Oreochromis niloticus: one gene and its partner. Each later gene encodes a partner of the first gene's protein in a complex. Links are inferred from orthologs where the notes say so. Each region holds a gene or a part of one and is shown in the gene's direction. Other genes may lie near its edges.

Region 1 (10,181 bases):
TTTTGTTGACATGACAATGTAGTATATGAAGATTCTGGTGATGACCATGACAGAATATGCCCTTCCTCAGTAATTGTTGGGCCCAGGCTCTTTACTGTTTCAAAGGCAACAACCAAAATCTTAAATGATCATTTTTGATTTAATTTATTGGAACCTGACTGATGTAAAAGGTGACAACTTAAACTCAACACAAGGGTGTGTGGTTATTACTTTTGATTGCAATAATTAAATTAGACTTCGTATGTAAAAAAGGCCAAGGTCAAAGTTCCCAAAGTGAAATCAAAGTTTGTTTTAATTATGTGGTCATTTAAAACCATATTTTAATCATCAGTTTTTGCTTTGGGTGGCTGTGGTTCAGGAATTAGTGCAGGTCATCTACTAACCTGAAGGTTAATAGACAGCCTATTAGAACACAACCTCTTCCAGTTCAATGTCCGGCTCCTCTACTTCCACATGGCAAGATACTAAATCTTAAAATGCATCCATCTGAATTTTAGGTTAAATGTGTTTAGGTATAGAAAAAGACACTTGTATAGATGTGTATATGAATGAGAGTTGTGGTAAGAAAGTGTTGAAATAGAATAGAAAAGTGCTATAAAAGTACCAGTCTGTTTTTAACATTTTTCTGTTGGGGGTTTCTGTCCCTGTACAAAAAAACATGTATCTCTAAAACCTTTCTCATCTTATAAAATGCATTTCTTTGATGATTGGGTTAGTCAGTGAGAGGTAGGAGGATTGTATTAAGATACAGGGGAATCCTTAAAGGATTGCATTTTGTCACATTTTGACAAAAGTGTACAGATACAACTCAACAAAGCTAACATTTACTTCTCCTTCCGCAGGATTAGCATTTAAATATGGTAACATTATGCTCTTGTGTCGTAATTTGTGACTGAGAAAAAGGAAAGCTGAAAAAGAATTTTCTGCTGCTCCTTACACATCGTGTGTGAGGCCTTTCACTTGGGAGGCAAATGTGTAAACCACTACAGTTATGGAGCCTTAAACAGCTGCCTACCAAGCAGAATGCAGGAAACACAGACAGCTATTGATGAACACAAAAGAGCATTTAACACATAAAGTGACAGATATTTAAAAAAATAATAATAAACTAAAAGAGAGTAAAAGTGAAATTGACAATTATATGATAAATCTTCCAGAGTTGCATTTGAATGTTTTGGAATAAGAACATACAGTCACTCTCTCATTTTTTATGTATAAACCTCAGTTTTTCTCCGGTCTGGAGACGTGAACAGGAACGACTTACTGTATTTCAGAATTCATAAAAGGGTCCTCCTTTCCCATAAAGCCCTAATTTTCACTTTGTCCTTACTCTTGCAGAGCTGTGGCTGACCTAAAACAAGAAGGTTTTAACATGTGGAAATATGGAAAAGTCAATTGACATATTTGTAAAAGAAAACAGTGTCTTGCGCACACACATACATTATTACTTCTATTTCAAGCACTAAGCAGAGTCTCTTTTATATATGTTTACAAATATTTGTGTGTAATGTCTAAATCACAAAATTTTACACAGTTTTTCCAGGACATTGATTCAACACACAGGCAGGAATGAAATTTGAAATGGACTGGTTTGGAAATAGTGTTTTTTTGCACTACTTAAGCACTCGAAGCGCTTTATACAGCTTGCCTCATTTACCCAAGGACTTTTTTTGATGCCAAAGTGCCTTTTTATTGAACATTTATACTCCAATGAACGGATTGGAGGGCAGCTTACCTACTTGAGGATACTTTGGCATGGAGAAGCCAGATTTCAAAAAAACAAACCTTCTCATTAGTAGATGACCTGGTCTACTTCCCGAGCAACAGCCACCCCTCAATGTTAGTGAGTAAAACCAAAATATTAGGTAGAATATCAAATCCTTTAGTTTTACAATATCTCCCAGAAATATCTAGTGTCGTTTGCTGTATTTTCCCTTAATGATCTAACTTTCTGTCCTCGAGGGGGCATCAACTTCTTCAAGCTTGACATTTAGACTGACTACAGGATTAAAGTACATACATGATGATTGAATGTGAGAAGAAAAATACTGAAGATTAAAGACAGGCTTATACAGGCTGTCAGATAAAGCACTGAGCTGGTCTGTTTTAGGACATATTCACAATATTGTCAAATTACTTTAGCTCACTTAACAAATAGTATAGAACATGATAGCTCCTAGTTTGATCCTTCAAATATCACATACACAGTAAAGCTTAAATGATTGGTTGAATCATCGCAGGACGATGACTGGAAAGATCAAATCATGGAAGTGGTTTTCAAAGAAAACTATAAAAATTAGCTGGTTCCAGCTTGTCACCTAATGGAGAAAAGAAACCAATTATTATGAAATATTAAAATATACATATATAATTTTATAAAGTGAACTAAAGAAAAATGTATTAGAAAGATAACTTTGTGCTTCTTACAACACTAAGATATCAAACCTTAGGTACTAAGTGGTGATGTAAAATACACCATCTACTAGGGTAAATGTATGGGCATACCGGCAATTCACAATGTAATGCTTCTCACCATCCATGCTGATCATGATGTAAAATAAAGAAATATGCTTTCAAATACTTGTTGCATTGAATCATAAAAGTTAGAAGAAGTATTAAAAACAAAAACACATTAAGCACCTAAATTTGGAGAGACGCATGGTGAACTTGCCAAGCCAAGGCTGTGATTTAGTGTTTCACATTTTGCATGAGTAGTGTTTTGTATCAAAAGGTAAAAACTTTTTGAGCCAGTTCAACACATTATTAACAGTCATTCAAAACAGTCTTTTATTAATTACTAATTATTTACATTACAAAATGAAACGGGGAATTATGCATCATCAGACAATCTTGAGGTTGTTTTTGTTTTTTAAACCATTAGTATCAGTGAAACTCCACAGCTATGGCTTTAGGACAAACCCATGAATTTCCCTTCCTGGTCAAACCAAATGTCAGTGCTATCAGTACTTTAATTGGATTGGTTACTTAGAATTAGTGTCCTCTTTGAAAGCTGTACCTTCTTACTTAATAACTAGGTTTGGGCCTGGGTGTTAATCTTAGGCTTCACCTCCAAAGACAATTTAAAGTGTATTGATAGATCCTTATCATTTCTTCTTCTGTGTTCATGTGAGCAAGTATGATATGAATGATGATGATGGTGATGACTGTATGTGAAACAAAGCTTTTATCATATACTTTTTGTATTTATTATATGATGATGATCAATATTAAAGTGTGATCAGATGTAATCAGTGTGTAAACTAATAAAACTGTCCACTCTACTATTCCGTCTTATCTCAACTCACAACCTTAGAAAGAACCCTGTATTGTTTTAGTTTTCCTTGTGTTTTTAGTGCTTTAAAATGTTACATGAATAAATGTCAGTATTTCCTCTAAACAGAATATTACTCAGAATATTCCAGCAAGTATTTTTTAGAAGGCAAAGTTTGAAGGGTCAGTAAAAACATCTCAACCACCACAGTGATTACAGGAAAGCTCGAAAAGTAGATTTACTCATGAACTGTGCTATGGAATGTTTTAAAGGTGTAAAGTTACTTCTCTTTTGTTACATTTCAGGGTAAATGTCTTACTTTACTGCATTTATAGATTAACAAATTTACAGACAAGGATAGAAAATGTAATCTGTTGTTAAACATTATACATAATTTTATTTTGCTGGAATTCTTACTCTACCCTTTCTCTTCCACTTATCCAATTTAGGGTCACAGGGGGGCTGAAGCCTATCACAGTTGCCATAGGGCAAGAGGCTAGGTACAACCCTAGTCTGACTCAGGGTCAACACAGAGAGACAGACAACAATTCACAACTATGGGTAATTTGGAAAATAACCTAACCTCACTAAAAGTATGTCTTTGGACTATCGAAGACAGCCGGAGAACCCAGAGAGAACCTATGCAAACCCGTGGCCAGACAGTGGATTCTAATCCAAGACCTTGCTGTGAGGTGGCAGTGCTAACTACTGTTTTAACATGCCATGGATTTCATATGTAAGGTTTGTAAGGTTTTTTAGCTTACAGAGTTAAGTTCCCTAATTTGGTTGCTTTTGTAAATTGGAGCTAAATAAATAAACCAAATTGAAATATACTAAATTTAGGGAGATAAGACTCACCTTTTGCAAATACCTTAATGTCAGATATCAAAGTAGAACGGATTATAGTGAAATACAGTAGAAAAATATTTAAAATTGCAGTAAAAAAAAGTAGTAATTCACTAGCTGGGATCACATCCTCAGATAGGTTTGCTAACATTTTTGTAGATAGTGGCAGATGGCTTGAACATAAATTGAGGCTGTGGTTTTTGGGAAGGCCTCAGAGGGGGACTGGTGGCAGCTCCTGGGTCAGGCAGATCCCTATAAGAAGTGAATTATTTGAAAAAGGGAGAGAGGGTGGGTACGAATCTAAAGCAGACAATAGCAACCTCGTTGTACAGGATACAGTAACCATCGCAGTGGCAGATATTCAAGAAAGGTTTGCAATATATAACTTGTTAGGGGTGAGGGGAGGATGACAATACAAAAGACACACTATGGAAGAAAACCAGAGTTTTAGAAGGATTTTGAATTCAAGAATGAAAATAAGCTAATATGGGATAAATATGGTCTCATTTTCTAGTACTCTTGCACGAGCATCATTATGATTATTATGATTAGCAGAAGTAGTAGTAGTAGTAATAATAGTAGTATTTGCAATGTTGACTGGTTCTGAGAGATCTGGGAGGCTGCTGTTCTCTGCTCTTAGGTACACCAGCCACTTAGCATTGATAATGTGTAATGCCTGTTTTCCTCAATGCTCTTCTAGCATTGCTCAATTTCAGCTCAGGATCTGCCCTTGTATTGTTATTCGCTTGTAGCTGAAAGCACAACCTGGGATCTTTGCATGGATCTTTGGAAAACAGGCCATTTCTCCTCTTGGCTTCTGCTATGGAAATCTTGTTGCACTTTCTTATTCATCTAGGACCAGGTTTTTCAACCTGTTATACTGAAAAATAAGAAAAAGACTAGCATACCATAAAAAAACAAACAACAAAAAAACATCACAAACAGCAGTACAGAACCAGGAACATGGGATCTGTCAGCCTGAACAGAGACAGAGACACACATGCCTACACACAAGAAAATGATATTGCCAGCATCCACGGAATAGTACCAAGAAACTGACAAAAGTCATGTTTAATTAAAGACTAGATAAGGAGAATATTTTTACGATTTTTAAGGCTTTGCCATTTTATTTAGTATTTTTTTTTCTCTTTACAAACAAATTGAGGAACAGCAATACTGATAAATTACCAATTTGTGTGCAAAATGTTCATTTGATTTATGCCCAGATTTGATTGTTAATGACGTCCATTGTTTTAAAGTACAGAGCCAAACAAAGGAAGAATTCTTCAGAGAAGAGGCAGCCAGCTGATATTTTGTCTGCAGTAGCTTCAGCAAGGCTGAAGATAGATGATTTTTTTTATGAAAGGAAAGTTTAAAGGGCAAAACTGCTGTTAAAAGATTCTTGACTTTATTACCTATTATGTTTGCAATTCATTTAATTAAATAAAGCTTTCATTTAATGTAAAACATCTTCTGGTAGTGGTGTAAATACATTTATTCTATTTTGAATGCAGTGTGGTATTACTATGTTAATGATTTGTGCTGTGAGATCCAAGTTTACATAATGAAGTGGCTGAAAATCTGTGTCACCACCACCTGAAGTATGTGTGAATGTCTTTCTTGTCTCCTCTGTGTCTGCCTTTAGTGTTGCAAAGACTTCATTAGCATCATGAATTAAGCTGTGTTGCCAAAACACCAATTACATGAATACATATTAACATCAAAGTCAGTGCCAGCAGGGTGCAGAGGTATCGGAGCCTGTCTGAGAACAAGTTAATAAGCTGAGGGATAAAAATGCTTTTTACCTAAGGTCTGCTTTGAAGTACTTTGATTATATACTGTGAGCCATAGGAATTAATCATTTCAGATTTTAATACAGGTATATTTTTCTTCATGAAACAAGATGTGATAATTAGAAATTCTGCTTTTTCACCAACCAGACTGACAACATTGTGACCCCAATAGACTCAACCGGTGATGGTATCAGCCTTCTACACCAACACATAACTTTTAACACCTCTTTTTTTCTTAGAGTTTATATCATCTCTTGAGTGTTTGTATGTGTACTCGTGCGGTTTAATCAGTAATGAAATTTTCTGTAATCAGAAAAATATATATTTCTATGTAATAAAAAAACACCACAAAAAAAATCTTATTTGGTTTTGTTTAAATGTGACTACATTCCAGATGTAGTTATCCATTCATTACATCTCTGCCCACATTAGGCGCATTTTAAACATGCATATCATTTGAGTTGAACAGACAAAACTAACCCTGCATTCAGTTCAGAACACCAGAGAACGAAAAAGTTTTCTTTGTTGCTTACTTAAACAAGTAATATCACTACCGGGACGCTTTTCAGCACCGGGGACAAGACAGCGCTCGCGCGCGCGACACACACGCGCACACAGACTTTCGTCTACGACAGGACCTCTGACTTCCACTCATTTACGACACGGAAGGCTCCGGGGAAGGCGTCGAAAGCACCTACGAGACCGCGGTAAAGGTAACAAAGTCGATGCAAATGAAGTGTTATCCTAAAAGCTTTATTTAACGAGAAACTTTACTTTGAACCTGATTAATGCTTCGTAGGGGCCCCATGCGTGATGGTACGGTTTTTGAAGTGTTCTTGCTTTGTTTTCGGTATTGTATTTATTTTATGCAGATTTTAAGGTTACAAGTCTTTTTGTCTGTGCTTCAGGCTATATGCCGTCCCCCAGTGAACTTCATTTTACTAAGATTCTTTTTTCCTGGAAAGACCCGTTAGATGTGTTGTTAACCCGCACCGGCGTTATTCTTTGTGGGTTTTCATAACTAAATTCCTCTGTGTTGTCTTACTGCTTGTGCTCATAGAAACATTCGATTAGAGCGCCACAAAATGCTGAAAAGTAATGACTAGAAATACACCAAAAAACATACATTCTCCTTTTCAGTAAAGTCTGCTAAAGGTTAAAGTCCAGGTTTTACGAACTACTGAGGTGTCTTTAACAGTAAAAGCTATTATTTTCGATCTGCTTTGTTGCTTGCTGAAATAAACTGCAACATTTTTCGACAGTTAGCGTTTGGCCTACATTTAATAGGCGCATGTGTATATAGTGGGTGAATGGTGTCCCTAGAGACTATAAATTATAATATTGAAAACCATATCTAAATCTAAACCATGAATGTAATAGCTAAATGCTGAGTCTTAAAACTTATAATTAAGTCATAGACAGTATAAACATGGGGCACATCTTGGTGAGCAGGGGCCTGGTTGCAAAAGTACTTCTTGTTGTTCACCTTTTAAATATTGGTAATACCAAGATTCAGGGGTAAGCAAATCACAAGTTGTTAGCCACTTTTCTGTGCTTGTTAGCAACCTTCTGCTTCTTTAGCATGTAATGATAGACTAGGACTCCTTCCCCAGTCATTTCTGAAATAACTGAGGCCTCAGTCCATATGCTGCCTACGGCACCTATCACATTTTCAGAATTTTGGTATGAAAGGGAAAAAAGAAAGGAAAAAAAAAGAATTTTGGTATGAAAATGTATTGTAAATATCAGTTCTGGTGCAAAATGCATACCTTAATTTACAACTAGCACTTCTTCACATACAGGACACAAATTCACAAGTACTGAGAAACTGAATAAAACATTGTTTTGGCCTTACCATGTGTTTTTTCACAAAAATATATTTAATATTAGCCTTATTAGGTTTGCTCAATTACAAAATCTATATCTGGAATCTGCAGGATCCATTGGGCAGTTGGGAGAAGAGAAGGGGCAGTGTCTGCAGATAAGCCAATCTCTCCGGTTCAGCAAGCCAGACGGATTTGAAGAGGGGCAGCTCCTGATTAGCCTGTAGGATCTCCTTGTCCAGGAGAGTGATCCTGCAGAACTGTGACTCATCTGCCGCTATGCACTGCTTAAGGACTACGGCTGTAAGGCTTTGGCCTTTAACGGCTGTACAAATGACCCAGAGCCTATCAAAGCCTCTACCATTGGCAGTTAAACAGGGCTTAAGGAGATCTCAGCCCACAAGGCACCTGAACACACCTCTAGCTAGTGAACCCTTTCTCAATGGCACCAGCTCTAACTATGTGGAGGAGATGTACTACTCATGGCTAGAGAATCCAAAGAGTGTGCATAAGGTACAGCACATCCACCTTTAATTCTGTGTTTGATGTTGTTGTCATTTCTGCAGTTATATATGTTTAAAATATGAAACTGCATGTAAAACCAACCAAGTGTTTTGGTCGGCAGAGATGACCTAATAATGGATATATAACAGGGAAAAATAACTCCACCTCCATCAATTACAGACATAAAATGCAGCCTCCACATAAATCAACGCATATTTCAACCCAGTCATTATTGGTAATTAATAAACAGGTATTAGGTTGCCTGGTGTGGGACCAAAGTTTGATGGTGATTAACCAATAACTGAAAAGGTGACTATGACACAGTGTTTAAATTTGTATAAAGGAGAATACATTTATGATGAAATTTAAAAAGATAAACAGAAACAGATTTTCAAAATAAATGGGGATGTTGGTGGTGGCTGGAGGGGGGTCGAAAAATGGAAAATAATAATAAATAAGTATATATTGACAACTAAATACACATGTAAAGAAAGAAAGAAAGAAAGTTTGACAATTTTACTAAAACTTGAAAATACCAAATTTCCACACATGAACATCGAGACACAAAATTGTCCACATCTGTACTTCTTGACATGTTGCACAGTGACAATCCACTGAAGATACATTATTAGTGGAAATACTGGAATTTAGGTGATGGAGCTGCCTGAATAGAGTGTAAAGGACTTATGACACACTCAGTATGAATGCAATAGACAACTGCCTGCACTATTCTCACTTAGGCTATTCTCACTTAGACGTCACACACTACGAGACTATGCACTATGTCTCCAGTCTAAACGATGAAATGCAAAAAACTGTAGTTCATGGAGTGGCAACTTGAAGCTGCCTGCATAAATTACACAGTTCACATAGAATTCCATGTTTAAGTGGGCAGCTGAGTTTTTGTTTTATAACTCATCCATTTGGATAAAGGTTTACCATTAGCAACATTGGCAGTTGAAAGACAAGTAATAATAATAATAATAATAATACATTTTATTTGAAAGCGCTTTTCAAAACACTCAAGGTCGCTGTACACAGTAGAGTAAAAAGCAACATAAAAGCAAAGAGTTTACACAATCATAAAACATAAACAAATTTAAAATAGCAAAGTGGAGAGGTTATGTGGGATAAGCTATTTTGAACAAGTGGGTTTTGAGTTGGGACTTAAAGAGAGAGAAGGTAGAGATATTTCTTAAATCAGGAGGTAGGGAATTCCAGAGTTGTGGAGCAGAGCAGCTGAAAGCCCTGCTCCCCATGGTGACAAGACGGGGGGAGGGGACGGAGAGTGAAAGGGAAGAAGAAGATCTGAGACAACGAGATGGGGAGGTGATGTTAACCAGATCAGAGAGATATGGAGGAGAGAGATGATGAATAGCTTTAAATGCGTACAAGAGTATTTTGAAATTGATACGATACTTGACCGGGAGCCAATGAAGCTGCTGCAGAACAGGAGTGATGTGATGGACAGAAGGGGTCCTGGTGATGATACGGGCAGCAGAATTCTGGATGCGTTGAAGCTTATGGATGGATTTTTGAGTAAGACCAAAAAGAAGTGAATTACAATAATCAATCCGGGAAGTAACAAGGCTGTGGACAAGAATGGCAGTGGCATGTGGGGTGAGAAAAGGACGGAGACGATTAATGTTGCGCAATTGAAAATATGCAGACCGAGTGACATTATTAATGTGTGAATTGAAAGATAGAGTACTGTCGAGGATGACACCCAAACTTTTCACAGAGGAAGAAATGGAGACCGGCGAGTTATTGATAGTAATAGAGAAACTGTTGGTTCTGGATAATGTTGATTTAGTGCCTACTAAGAGGAGTTCGGATTTATTACTATTGAGTTTAAGAAGATTAGAAGAGAACCATGAATTTAGTTCAGCTAAGCAGAGGGTGAGGGAGGATGGGGGAAGAGCAGAATCAGGTTTAGTGGACAGA
Region 2 (10,128 bases), on another chromosome or scaffold:
GGCATAGGCACACATAAAATTTCTTCTGAAATTTTCGCTTTCTAGTTATTATTATTATTATTGTTATTATTATTACTACAACTACAGACTTTGGAAGGATTTGAACTATTTTTAAACACAGAAATTGATAATAAAGAACAAACTCTCCCTAAACTCATTCAAGTTACTGTAATTAACCACCCTAGGATTCTATGCTGAAACAAAACTGAAATATGTTACTGGGTCGTTTTGAGATCGTCATACTTTGGCTCATCATATTCATCATTGTATTGTTGTTGTTTACCTATTCTATATTCGTTCATTACATGTGAAATTAATAACTTGTATTTTCTCTTTTCTACTTCGCCAAGCTTCTCTTGTTTCTTGACTAACTCTGTCCTTACTCTCTCCAGGTTCCCTTTGTTTACAGCAGTTTATCAGATTTGTTTTGAGAAGAGGCCAGTCCAAGAAATGATTTCCTGCCTGCAAAGCCACCCAGAAGATATGTGATCGACTGATGGGTCTCAGGAAGCTGTTTAATTGAATTTTCCATTGATCATTTCCATTCTAAGATGAAGTTTGCATTAGGTTCTTATTCTGTTAAAAAACAACAATCCACAACAGCTTTATTTAGAACACCCATCAAATCTGGAGTGAATTATAACAAAGTCCTTTATCATTTCAATTTGTACAAACCTCCAAAAAAAGTTATTCCTGGCTTCCAACAGTGTAGGATGAAAAATAAATCCCAGTGTTAAAACATAACAAAGACTGACTGTCTCTCCCACTTAGAGTGTTTATCCATGCCAGCTCCTTGTGTGGAGTAATCCCCCTTTAACCACTATCAGATGTGAAAACGAGGTATAATCTGAGCTTTAAAAATCAGAGGTAGACTGACTGCAGAAGCTATGTTGTGCCAGATGCCTCGAGTCTGATGGCTTTGTCTAACCATGGAACTTTTTCAAATCACCTAATAACATCTATATAAGTGAAGTTTTGTTTTAGCATGGATCTTTTGTGGCAACTATATTTGTTTTTGTTTCGGGTATTTTTGTTACCTACACGACCAACTTCACATTTTTCTAGGCAGGTTAATTACTAAGCTGCCCACGGTGCTCCTTAGACTTAAACCTCAACAGATTGGCTCTGGGTAGAAGTATGTGTTTGTGTGCGAGCCTTGTGATAGGAGTCGGCTGGGAAATGGATGAATAGATAATGAGCCCCATCTTGTGGTTAAAAAAAAACTACAACAACCCAGTAAACCACTGACAGCTTGTGTGTCTTGAGCTGTGATACTTCAGTGTGCTCATATTGCAACCTTCTCAGAATTCTGCTGTTAATGTGTTGGAATAAATGCCACTCAGACTGATTTCTCAATGTTTTATCTAAAAGTTTTCATTGTTAATCTTGAATCATGTCATGAGATGGACAATAGATTACAGAGACCTTTGTGCTTTAGATGCAGATGGACTTCTGACAAGACGGGACAAGACTCAGCAGTCCATCTGCATCTAAAGGACAAAGGTCACTCTTTCGAGGATGCCAATGTTCACATTTTGGACAGAGAGGACAGATGGTTTGAAAGAGGAGTGAAAGAAGCATCTATGTCCACTGTGAACGACCATCTTTGAACAGAGGGCGGGGCTTACGACACCAACTGTCTGCCATCTATAATCCAGTTTTGAGATCCTTCCCAGACGCCTTAACGCCCACTTACATTCTGGGCCATCTGACCTCAGGAAATCACATGATAGGGTGGGGCCAGGTTTCACAGTGAGCTCACCCGAAACCCTGGCTGATTGTGACCACCCGTTTTCACACCTTGGCTCATGTGATTAGGTAGAGGATCAATAGGGGGTCCATGACCCTCTTGGGGACACTCCCACAGGGCTTAAATCTGGGACTCTCCACCATTTGACCCTAGAACTGAAGAAGCTTCTCGGATGAGAGATGAAACGTCTTCAAGCAACTTTAAGAAGTCCAGACGCTTTTCTTTCCAACCTCCTTAGGTTTCTATCAGTGATTTATCAGATTTGTCACATATCAATAAGCAGTTGTTGTGTGCTTATTAAAATTGCTACCTTGCCTGTCAGTGGCCACCAGCATGGTCACTTTTCACTACATCTATTACAAGCACAGCAAAGGGTGATGCACCTCAGTCAAGGAGAAAATGTCTGTGCTTTTCAATATCGTTTCAACTTCACTTTGCTTGTGTTCGTTCAGGTAAATGTAATGAATGGAAGTGAAACAAATAATTAATTTTGCTTGACACATCTAGCACTAGCAAACCTTTGCCTCTTAAATTGATTTTGCATTAACAGACGAACTAAAAGACTAAAGACTAAACTTAAAGTATGTTAGATAATGCTGGTTTTGTCAAAGGCATTCTTATCAGGTAAACTGTCCACAACACCTTTAGTGTTGCAGCAGGAAGCTACCCACTGTGGAAACATTACAGTTACATTTTTGTTGCCATTCTGAAATAAAATATTAGAAACTACACTAAAGTGTTAAGTCTATTTTATGTAACATTGAAAGAAGTGTGTGTGTGTGGGGGGGGGGGGCTTTTAAATTTCTTTAGAAATTTTCTTTTATTAATATTTTTAAAATGAGTGCAGCACAAACATTTGACACCACTTTTGTTGGATTTGAAGAAGTAAGTAGGCCAGGGGTTACATTTGTACTATGTTTTGAAAGTATAAGCTGTTTCACTGGTCCAGACCACATATCTATAGAAAACCCAGCCCGCTGGCTCTGGACATTGTTTGGCAATCCAACAAACTTTGCCATGTTATTAAAGCCAACACTATGGCTTTCCACTTTGCTTCATAATCCTGATTACACCAAAGTATACGTGGTTTTATTTGTGCTGCTAAATACAAGGTGGGCCATTTATATGGATACACCGTAATAAAATGGGAATGGTTGGAGATATTAAAGTCCTGTTTGTGGCACATTAGTATATGTGAGGGGGCAAACTCCTCAAGATGGGTGGTGACCATGGTGGCCATTTAGAAGTCGGCCATATCTTGGATACAACTTTTGTTTTTTCAATAGGAAGAGGGCCATGTGACACATCAAACTTATTGGTAATGTCACAAGAAAAACAATGGTGTGCTTGGTTTCAACGTAACTTTATTCTTTCATGAGTTATTTACAAGTTTCTCTTTGTTCACAGACATTGACATGTCGAAGACCACGTAAATGGTAAATGGCCTGTATTTATATAGCGCTTTTACTAGTCCCTAAGGACCCCAAAGCGCTTTCACACCAGTCATCCACCTTCACACCACAGGTATGCAACTGTAGCCACTTCGGGCGCACTGACAGAGGCGAGGCTACCGGACACTGGCGCCATCGGGCCCTCTGACCACCACCAGTAGGCAACGGGTGAAGTGTCTTGCCCAAGGACACAACGACCGAGACTGTCCGAGCCGGGGGCTCCGATTACAAGGCGAACTCCCAACTCTTGAGCCACGATCGCCCCGTGAGGAGCGGATCGAAATTGTGTTGATATCTGGTGAACGCAGTAACCGGGTCATTGCAGCAGATTTCAATGCAAGACACCCTACGAGACCACCCATCTCCCATGCTACAGTTAGCAAACTGCTTGCTAAGTTTCGTGAAACTGGTTCAGTGTTGGATTTGCCAAAATGTGGACGCAAGAAAACTGTCACTAATGAAGAAACATCAGTGGCTGTCCTCGCTTCATTCAGCAAGAGCCCATAGCATAGCACTCGCTGCATGTCACTGGAGAGTGGCATTAGTCGAACATCCCTTCGGCGGATATTAGCTACTCACAAATGGCACCCTTACAAACTCCAGCTACTGCAGCATCTCAACGAGGATGACCCAGATCGGCGCACAGAATTTGCAGAAGGGGTAAAACAAAAATTGGAACAGGACCCTCAGTTCACGCTGAAGATTTTGTTCAGTGATGAGGCAAACTTTTATGTGAATGGTGAAGTTAACAAACAAAACCACTGCTATTGGTCTGACACTAACCCACATTGGATGGATCCCTCCAAGACTGTTGGAACAACAAAAGTGATGGTTTGGTGTGGTATGTGGGGTACAACGATAGTGGGTCCATTCTTCATCAATGGAAACCTCAAGGCCACTGGATATTTGAAACTGCTACATGATGATGTGTTTCCCTCTTTATGCACTGAAGCTGGCACGTTCCCTGAGTTTTTCCAGCAAGATGGTGCACCACCACATTATGGGTGCCAGGTCCGAGCATTCCTAGATGAACAGTTTCCTGGAAAGTGGATTGGTCGTCGTGGGCCAGTTGAATGGCCCCCAAGGTCTCCCGATCTGACCCCCTTAGACTTTTATCTTTGGGGTCATCTGAAGGCAATTGTCTATGGTGTGAAGATACGAGATGTGCAGCACCTGAAACTACGGATACCGGATGCCTGTGCTGGCATTTCTCCTGCGGTGTTGCTATCAGTGTGTGAAGAGTGGGAGAAGAGGGTTGCATTGACAATCCAACACAATGGGCAGCACATTGAACACATTTTATAAGTGGTCAGAAACTTGTAAATAACTCATGAAAGAATAAAGTTACGTTGAAACCAAGCACACCATTGTTTTTCTTTTGACATTACCAATAAGTTTGATGTGTCACATGGCCCTCTTCCTATTGAAAAAACAAAAGTTGTATCCAAGATGGCCGACTTCTAAATGGCCACCATGGTCACCACCCATCTTGGGGAGTTTGCCCCCTCACATATACTAATGTGCCACAAACAGGACTTTAATATCACCAACCATTCCCATGTTATTACGGTGTATCCATATAAATGGCCCACCCTATAGTAGTCTTTAATGCTGGGTGAACCCATCCCTCCCTTGTCTCTTGGTAACCGCAGAGTTTCATATTTCACTCTAGGGAATGTACCATTCTAGATAAATATATCACTTTGGCCCATTCACAAAACTGTTTATCAGATCTGAAGAGGCAAAGAATGGAACAAACAGTCTGAGCAAAATATTAGTTTTTACCACAATTATTCTCCTACCAAGATCTAATGGCCTGTAAGGATAAGTTAAAGCCAATGAATGACAGGCTGCCACACATGGAGAATGTTGGTGGCTGTCAGACTCTTTAAAGAAACTCAAGAAGAGATGAGAAACAAAGCCACTGACATCTATGAGTATAAAAAAGGTTTTAAAGCCATTTTACTCCAGTGAACCACGCTGTCAGCCATTATGCACCAATGGAGAAAACAGGGGTAAACCTAAGAAAGAGACTGGGCACAAATGGCATCCACTGGAGAGTTCAAGGTGAAAACCAGTGCCAACCAAAAACAGCAATTTTGGGAAGATATTCTGTGCACCCATGACACAAAAGTTGAACTTGTTGCAAGATTTGGCAGTGGTAGTGTGGCGTTCTAGGGCTACTTTGCTGCTTTGGGATCTGGGAGACTTTCTGTAATACACGAAACCATGGATTCTGTTCTCTACAGGAGAATGTCCAGCTATCATTTCATGCCCTGAAGCTTAAGTGCATTCAGATTATGCAGCAGGACAATAATAGGAAACAAACCAGTAAATGTCAATCATAGTGCATGAAGTGCTGTTTGAACGTGTGTGCGATTGAGTGGATGACACTTGTAGCAAGAGAGCGATCCTGTCTGCCATCCTGTGAATTAATGAGGTCACTTGGATCAAGATTGAGTGGGAGTTGAATCCCCTAGGAAAGGATCTCAAGATTGTATTATAAGTATCTGACATATACCTAGGTATCTAATCTTCAAAGACTGGAAAAAATTAAAAAAAAAACTATATAGGCCTAACAGTAAAATCATGCTGACTCACCTAATTACTCTGGACCTTGTTGGTATTTATTCATCAATCTTTAATCTCACAGAAATTGTTCAAGTAATAATACAGACATTTTTATATTAAACCATAATACAAAAATACATGAACAAAACATTCACCATTCAAAGATTGCTTGGATGGTTTTCCTTTCCAAACATGTGGAGCCAGAAGTAGAAAACTCTGGTTGCTTCAACCTAACCTGACACTCCAGTCCGCCTGGTGGCGCAATAGTGCGGCTGGCTGGTACCAGCAATCACAGAAGAAGAACACACAGCCGCTAACTAAAACGGTCCTACCTTAACGGCAGGGATGTTACAGGTCACTTTGTTGTCAGTCACAATTTAACAACCAACCACACTGTAAGTCGTTTATTGGATTTTGTTTGCGGCGTAGCACCACCTCATAGCAATGCTAACTTTATGTGCTAGCCTGGCTAGCAAAGTGGAACCATGTTTTGTTGCTGTCATTGATTAGAAATCACAAAGGAAACTACAGAGACATTTTAATCTGGGGTTGTTCTGTTTTCAAATGTTTGCTATTTGTTAATATTTTTAGATAACTTGATAGCATGGGATTCAAAGGAGTAAATACAAATTAGAGTTAGCTAACACCGTTAGGTATCTGTTTCTGTTGATTTTCTTTTGACGAACTGAAGTTACTCTGATTTAGTCCCTGCTGAGCTGTACCAGGCTGCTGCCAGATCCAGTGCAACAAACCATGGAAGTACTTTGATAAAGGAAATGCAGATGGACCGACTGAAAAGGCCGTGATTACAGGCTGATCTCTGGACCAGCAGCGTCAGCAATGTCTGCAATCCCCCTTCTGCGATGCACCATCAGGTAAAACTGTCCCAACACGTACGATCACATGATAACGTGCAGGCTGGAGCATAATGACAGTTTTAAAACTCCTTTTAAAAAGTCTAATATGCGCATGTTGAAGGCATATAGAAACGTAAGTGTCAAAATGACTTTGAGTTTGACTTTTGGTTTTTCAACAATGGACAGAAAATGTAACAGAATCTTTACTTTGATGTGTTCCTGCGGTCACCCATCTGCGTTTGAAAATGCGCACCTACATCGTTATGTACGGTACAATATGGGTCTCCGTTCATGATCGTCTCGTAACCTGCACTCCGAAAGACATCAGGTTCCTAAAAAGGCTTTTTGGGTTTCATTTTCCTTTGTTGGGATCGACATATCTGTAATAACTTACATTTAATGCAGTCTTTCATATAATTTAGTGCAAAAAGTTTAACATTAAAAGTAGGTTCTCTGCAAATTGCAGAGCTGCTTTCTGATCACTGAGTTCAGCTGCTGTCTCTACTTTCCATGCACGTGTTCAGTACTTTCCCCTGTGTCATTCTCTTATTACACATGATGTACCCCCTGTAAGAATGCATTGTTGACAAACAGTGCACTCAAAATAATTTTTTTTATTTATATTAAGGTGAGAATAGCGTACGGATGTGTCACATAGAGAAGCGGGATGGGGGGGTGAGCAGTGACAATGACACGTTTGAGGAGAGCTGAATGTATTTTACAGTCTGGATACAGACACACACACCAGGGCAAAACAAGCTTAAAGACAGTCACATGGTCATCTCTGGTCTCTGCAGGTCGAGTAGCGCCCCCAGCATTCCCCAGCCGATTATTCCCCAGTAACATTGCTGGGGAAATTCTGACACTTCATGTTTAGGACCAGAAAACATTCTAATCTACTCTCAAATATTTTAAAACTAAATTTATTTCGAACTTTGAAAATAATAACATTAACAACATTAATATTATTTAGAACTCTTTTTCTGTCGCTGCATTATCGATCTGTCTGTCTAGTCAGGTACTGCTGTCCGACTCCATGCCATTATCTCTCTCTTTTGTGATATTGTGATGACTCTGGGTGGGTCTGTCCTTTGTTAAAGACATTACTCTGATTTCTCTTACCCTTAGTTTGCTGTGGCAGAGAGCTGATGCCTATCATGTGAAGCAGGTTTTGGTTTATCTGGGTAACTTCAGGGTTAACCCAGGGTTTTCTGTACTGCAAAGGTGGTAAACTTTTCTCCAGGTAAATCACCATGGTAACAGTCTAGAGTAGGTAAGAAATCAAGAAATCAGCAGGTATGAATTTGCCAACTTCTGACCAATCAGTTCTCTAGAAAATGGCTCAGACCTCTGTGTGTGAACAGGTTTTTTAATAGCGTGTAATTTCTTTTTTCCTTGACTTTTTGTTTCTGTTTGCAGCAAACAAAACAAAACAAGAACATAAAAATATACCAGTCAAATGCAACACTGTTATAAAAAGAGGAAGAGATGAACGCTTCATTTCATGGCTGGTCAAAGTGAAATAAATGTGATTGGTTGAACAGGTGTTCATGCTGTGTGTGCTCTGTTATCTGTACTTCCATCAGCGTAAAAGACTCAGCAGCAGATTAGAATGAAGTATAATAACATTTATACATTTAATAAATCACCAGATTTATACACGCATCTTCCCGTGACAGTGCGACACACTGTTTGCTCTTCATTCAGTGATTTCAGTACAGCAGACTGCACGCTGCTCATAAATCATATTCCCCCATCATATGAACACTTATTCTCTCAGCTGAGACTCGCTGCTGTTTAAAGGTTTGAGAGTAAAGGTTGGATATAAAAACATCAAACATGGGCTCAGTCTACGTTTGATATGAGGTCAGCAGTTACAGTGTCTGTGTCCTGTTTCAACATCATAAATGTGCAATTGTTTTTATCCAACATGAGAAATATAAACTTGTGTCTATGACTTTGTTACTGATTCCCATCAGGAAACACTTTAGAGGCAGACCTGCTATTTTCATCATCAACACGTTTCGTTTGTTTTGCAGTTTTTCAGCAGGACCCTGCTGTAATACTGACCACACGGCTGATAAATGACTGTCTTTTAGTTTCAAAGAGACATGAGGGGTACTTCCCAAAGTCTGGCCTGCGTTGATCCAGCCACTCAATGTCCGTGGTTACCATGGTTACTGCATAAGCTGCTGATAAACAGCTGGCACTGTGTTTATGTTTTCATTACAACTGTCTGACTTGGTTAACTGAAGTAAACTTGGATAACTTCTAGTTAGGGAGTATCATAGATAACAGTGAAAGTGGGCGACAGTATTTACTCAGTTTGAACAAAAAGCCCATTGTTGCAGCCAGCTGGAGTTACGTCTATGTCAGTTATTGAGAGCAGGGTTTAATGATGTAAATTAGCCTCTTTTCTGTAACGTCTGTCTTTCTCTGTGCAGGCTGCAGCGGAAGCATGTTGCCACACATGCTGTACAACAGAGAGCTCTGTCAGGGGCAGAGGCTGTAAATGCTCTCAGGCCCTTTTATTTTGCAGTCCACCCAGACTTCTTCGGTAAATATCCCAAAGAACGGGTAGGTCTCATATCTGTCATGACATAAATCCAAATATGTGTTATTGGCAACATATGATCGTAAAGTAACAGTTCAAAAACTGTCTTAACTGTCAGGTTTACATGTGTGTGACGCCTTATAGGCACAGCAGACAATCCACTGTGTTCAGTATACTTATCATCTATGTGCTCTGTGATCCATATACAATATAAAGTAATATGATGTGATATTATCATTAAATATGACTTTATAATCTGTGTACATACAACACTGTGTCAGACGTTTGTTGGTACGAGCTGCCATGATGTAAGTTCTGGTACCTCTGTGTTACAGGAGGTGAATGAGAACTCGCTAAAGAGGCTGAATGGCTATCTGGAGAACTTGCAGAAGCCTGGCTCACGTTCAGTTCAACCCATGAAGCTCACCTTTTATCTAAGGAACACAAAGTACAGCAGTAAGGTGCAGCCAGAACTCCTCAGCTCAGGTGCATTTCTTTTAAAAATGCTCAAAGTACCAGTGAGTGTTTTTGTTGTTGTTTTTTTAACGTAAAATTGCTCCTGTTTGCTTCTCAGGCTTCCGCTCAGTCAGCTTTACTCTGCACACAAACGATGTTTTGAGCACAGTGATGGATGTTTTGACGAGCTGCAGCCTGCCCATGGAGCACATGAAAGGACTAACGGCGAGTAAAGCAGCAAGTAAAAGTCCGACTGAGACGGGGAAGCCTTTCTACAGAACCATCAAATGGGATAAAAGCTATTACACCTTCACGGGCTTCAAAGACCCCGAGCAGGAGCTGCAGCAGGCCCAGAGAGCCGAGCCTACACTCAGGTAGCCTACGCTCAGGTAGCCTACGCTCAGGTAGCCTACGCTCAGGTAGCCTACGCTCAGGTAGCCTACGCTCTGGTTGTGGTTGTCACATCTCAACTGTAGGAAGTGTTTAAAC

The links.
Region 2: the proteins of ogdhb (region 1) and tcaim are in contact, whole or in part, in a cryo-EM structure (PDB 8I0K), measured with the Homo sapiens proteins. The link is inferred for Oreochromis niloticus from reciprocal best matches to the Homo sapiens genes OGDH and TCAIM. Residues at the interface, in NP_001425937.1 of Homo sapiens: Gly301, Tyr304, Arg323, Tyr354, Arg356, Ile358, Arg364, Asn365, Lys387, Glu391, Tyr394, Cys395, Gly396, Thr398, Glu399, Lys401, Lys402, Lys561, Met602, Pro605, Glu667, Gly668, Ile669, Asn709, Met734, Ala735, Ser736, Pro737, Asn738, Gln772; in NP_001269842.1 of Homo sapiens: Glu214, Gln234, Arg235, Ser236, Trp237, Gly238, His241, Ser244, His247, Ser248, Arg251, Gln255, Asp272, Arg273, Thr286, Met287, Asp288, Val289, His290, His291, Glu331, Leu332, Gln333, Pro334, Val335, Arg375, Tyr376, Glu441, Ser443, His473.

Annotation. Positions count from the first base shown.
Region 1 is NC_031972.2:9,754,449-9,764,629, forward strand, and holds the start of ogdhb (2-oxoglutarate dehydrogenase, mitochondrial), read left to right. Parts: upstream 1-6,487; 5' UTR 6,488-6,623; intron 6,624-7,847; 5' UTR 7,848-8,012; coding exon 8,013-8,246; intron 8,247-10,181. UniProt on the Homo sapiens protein: 2-oxoglutarate dehydrogenase (E1o) component of the 2-oxoglutarate dehydrogenase complex (OGDHC). Participates in the first step, rate limiting for the overall conversion of 2-oxoglutarate to succinyl-CoA and CO(2) catalyzed by the whole OGDHC.
Region 2 is NC_031976.2:1,620,058-1,630,185, reverse strand, and holds the start of tcaim (T-cell activation inhibitor, mitochondrial), read left to right. Parts: upstream 1-6,008; 5' UTR 6,009-6,167; intron 6,168-6,191; exon of another isoform or gene 6,192-6,477; 5' UTR 6,478-6,612; coding exon 6,613-6,647; intron 6,648-9,073; coding exon 9,074-9,206; intron 9,207-9,518; coding exon 9,519-9,669; intron 9,670-9,757; coding exon 9,758-10,013; intron 10,014-10,128. UniProt on the Homo sapiens protein: May regulate T-cell apoptosis.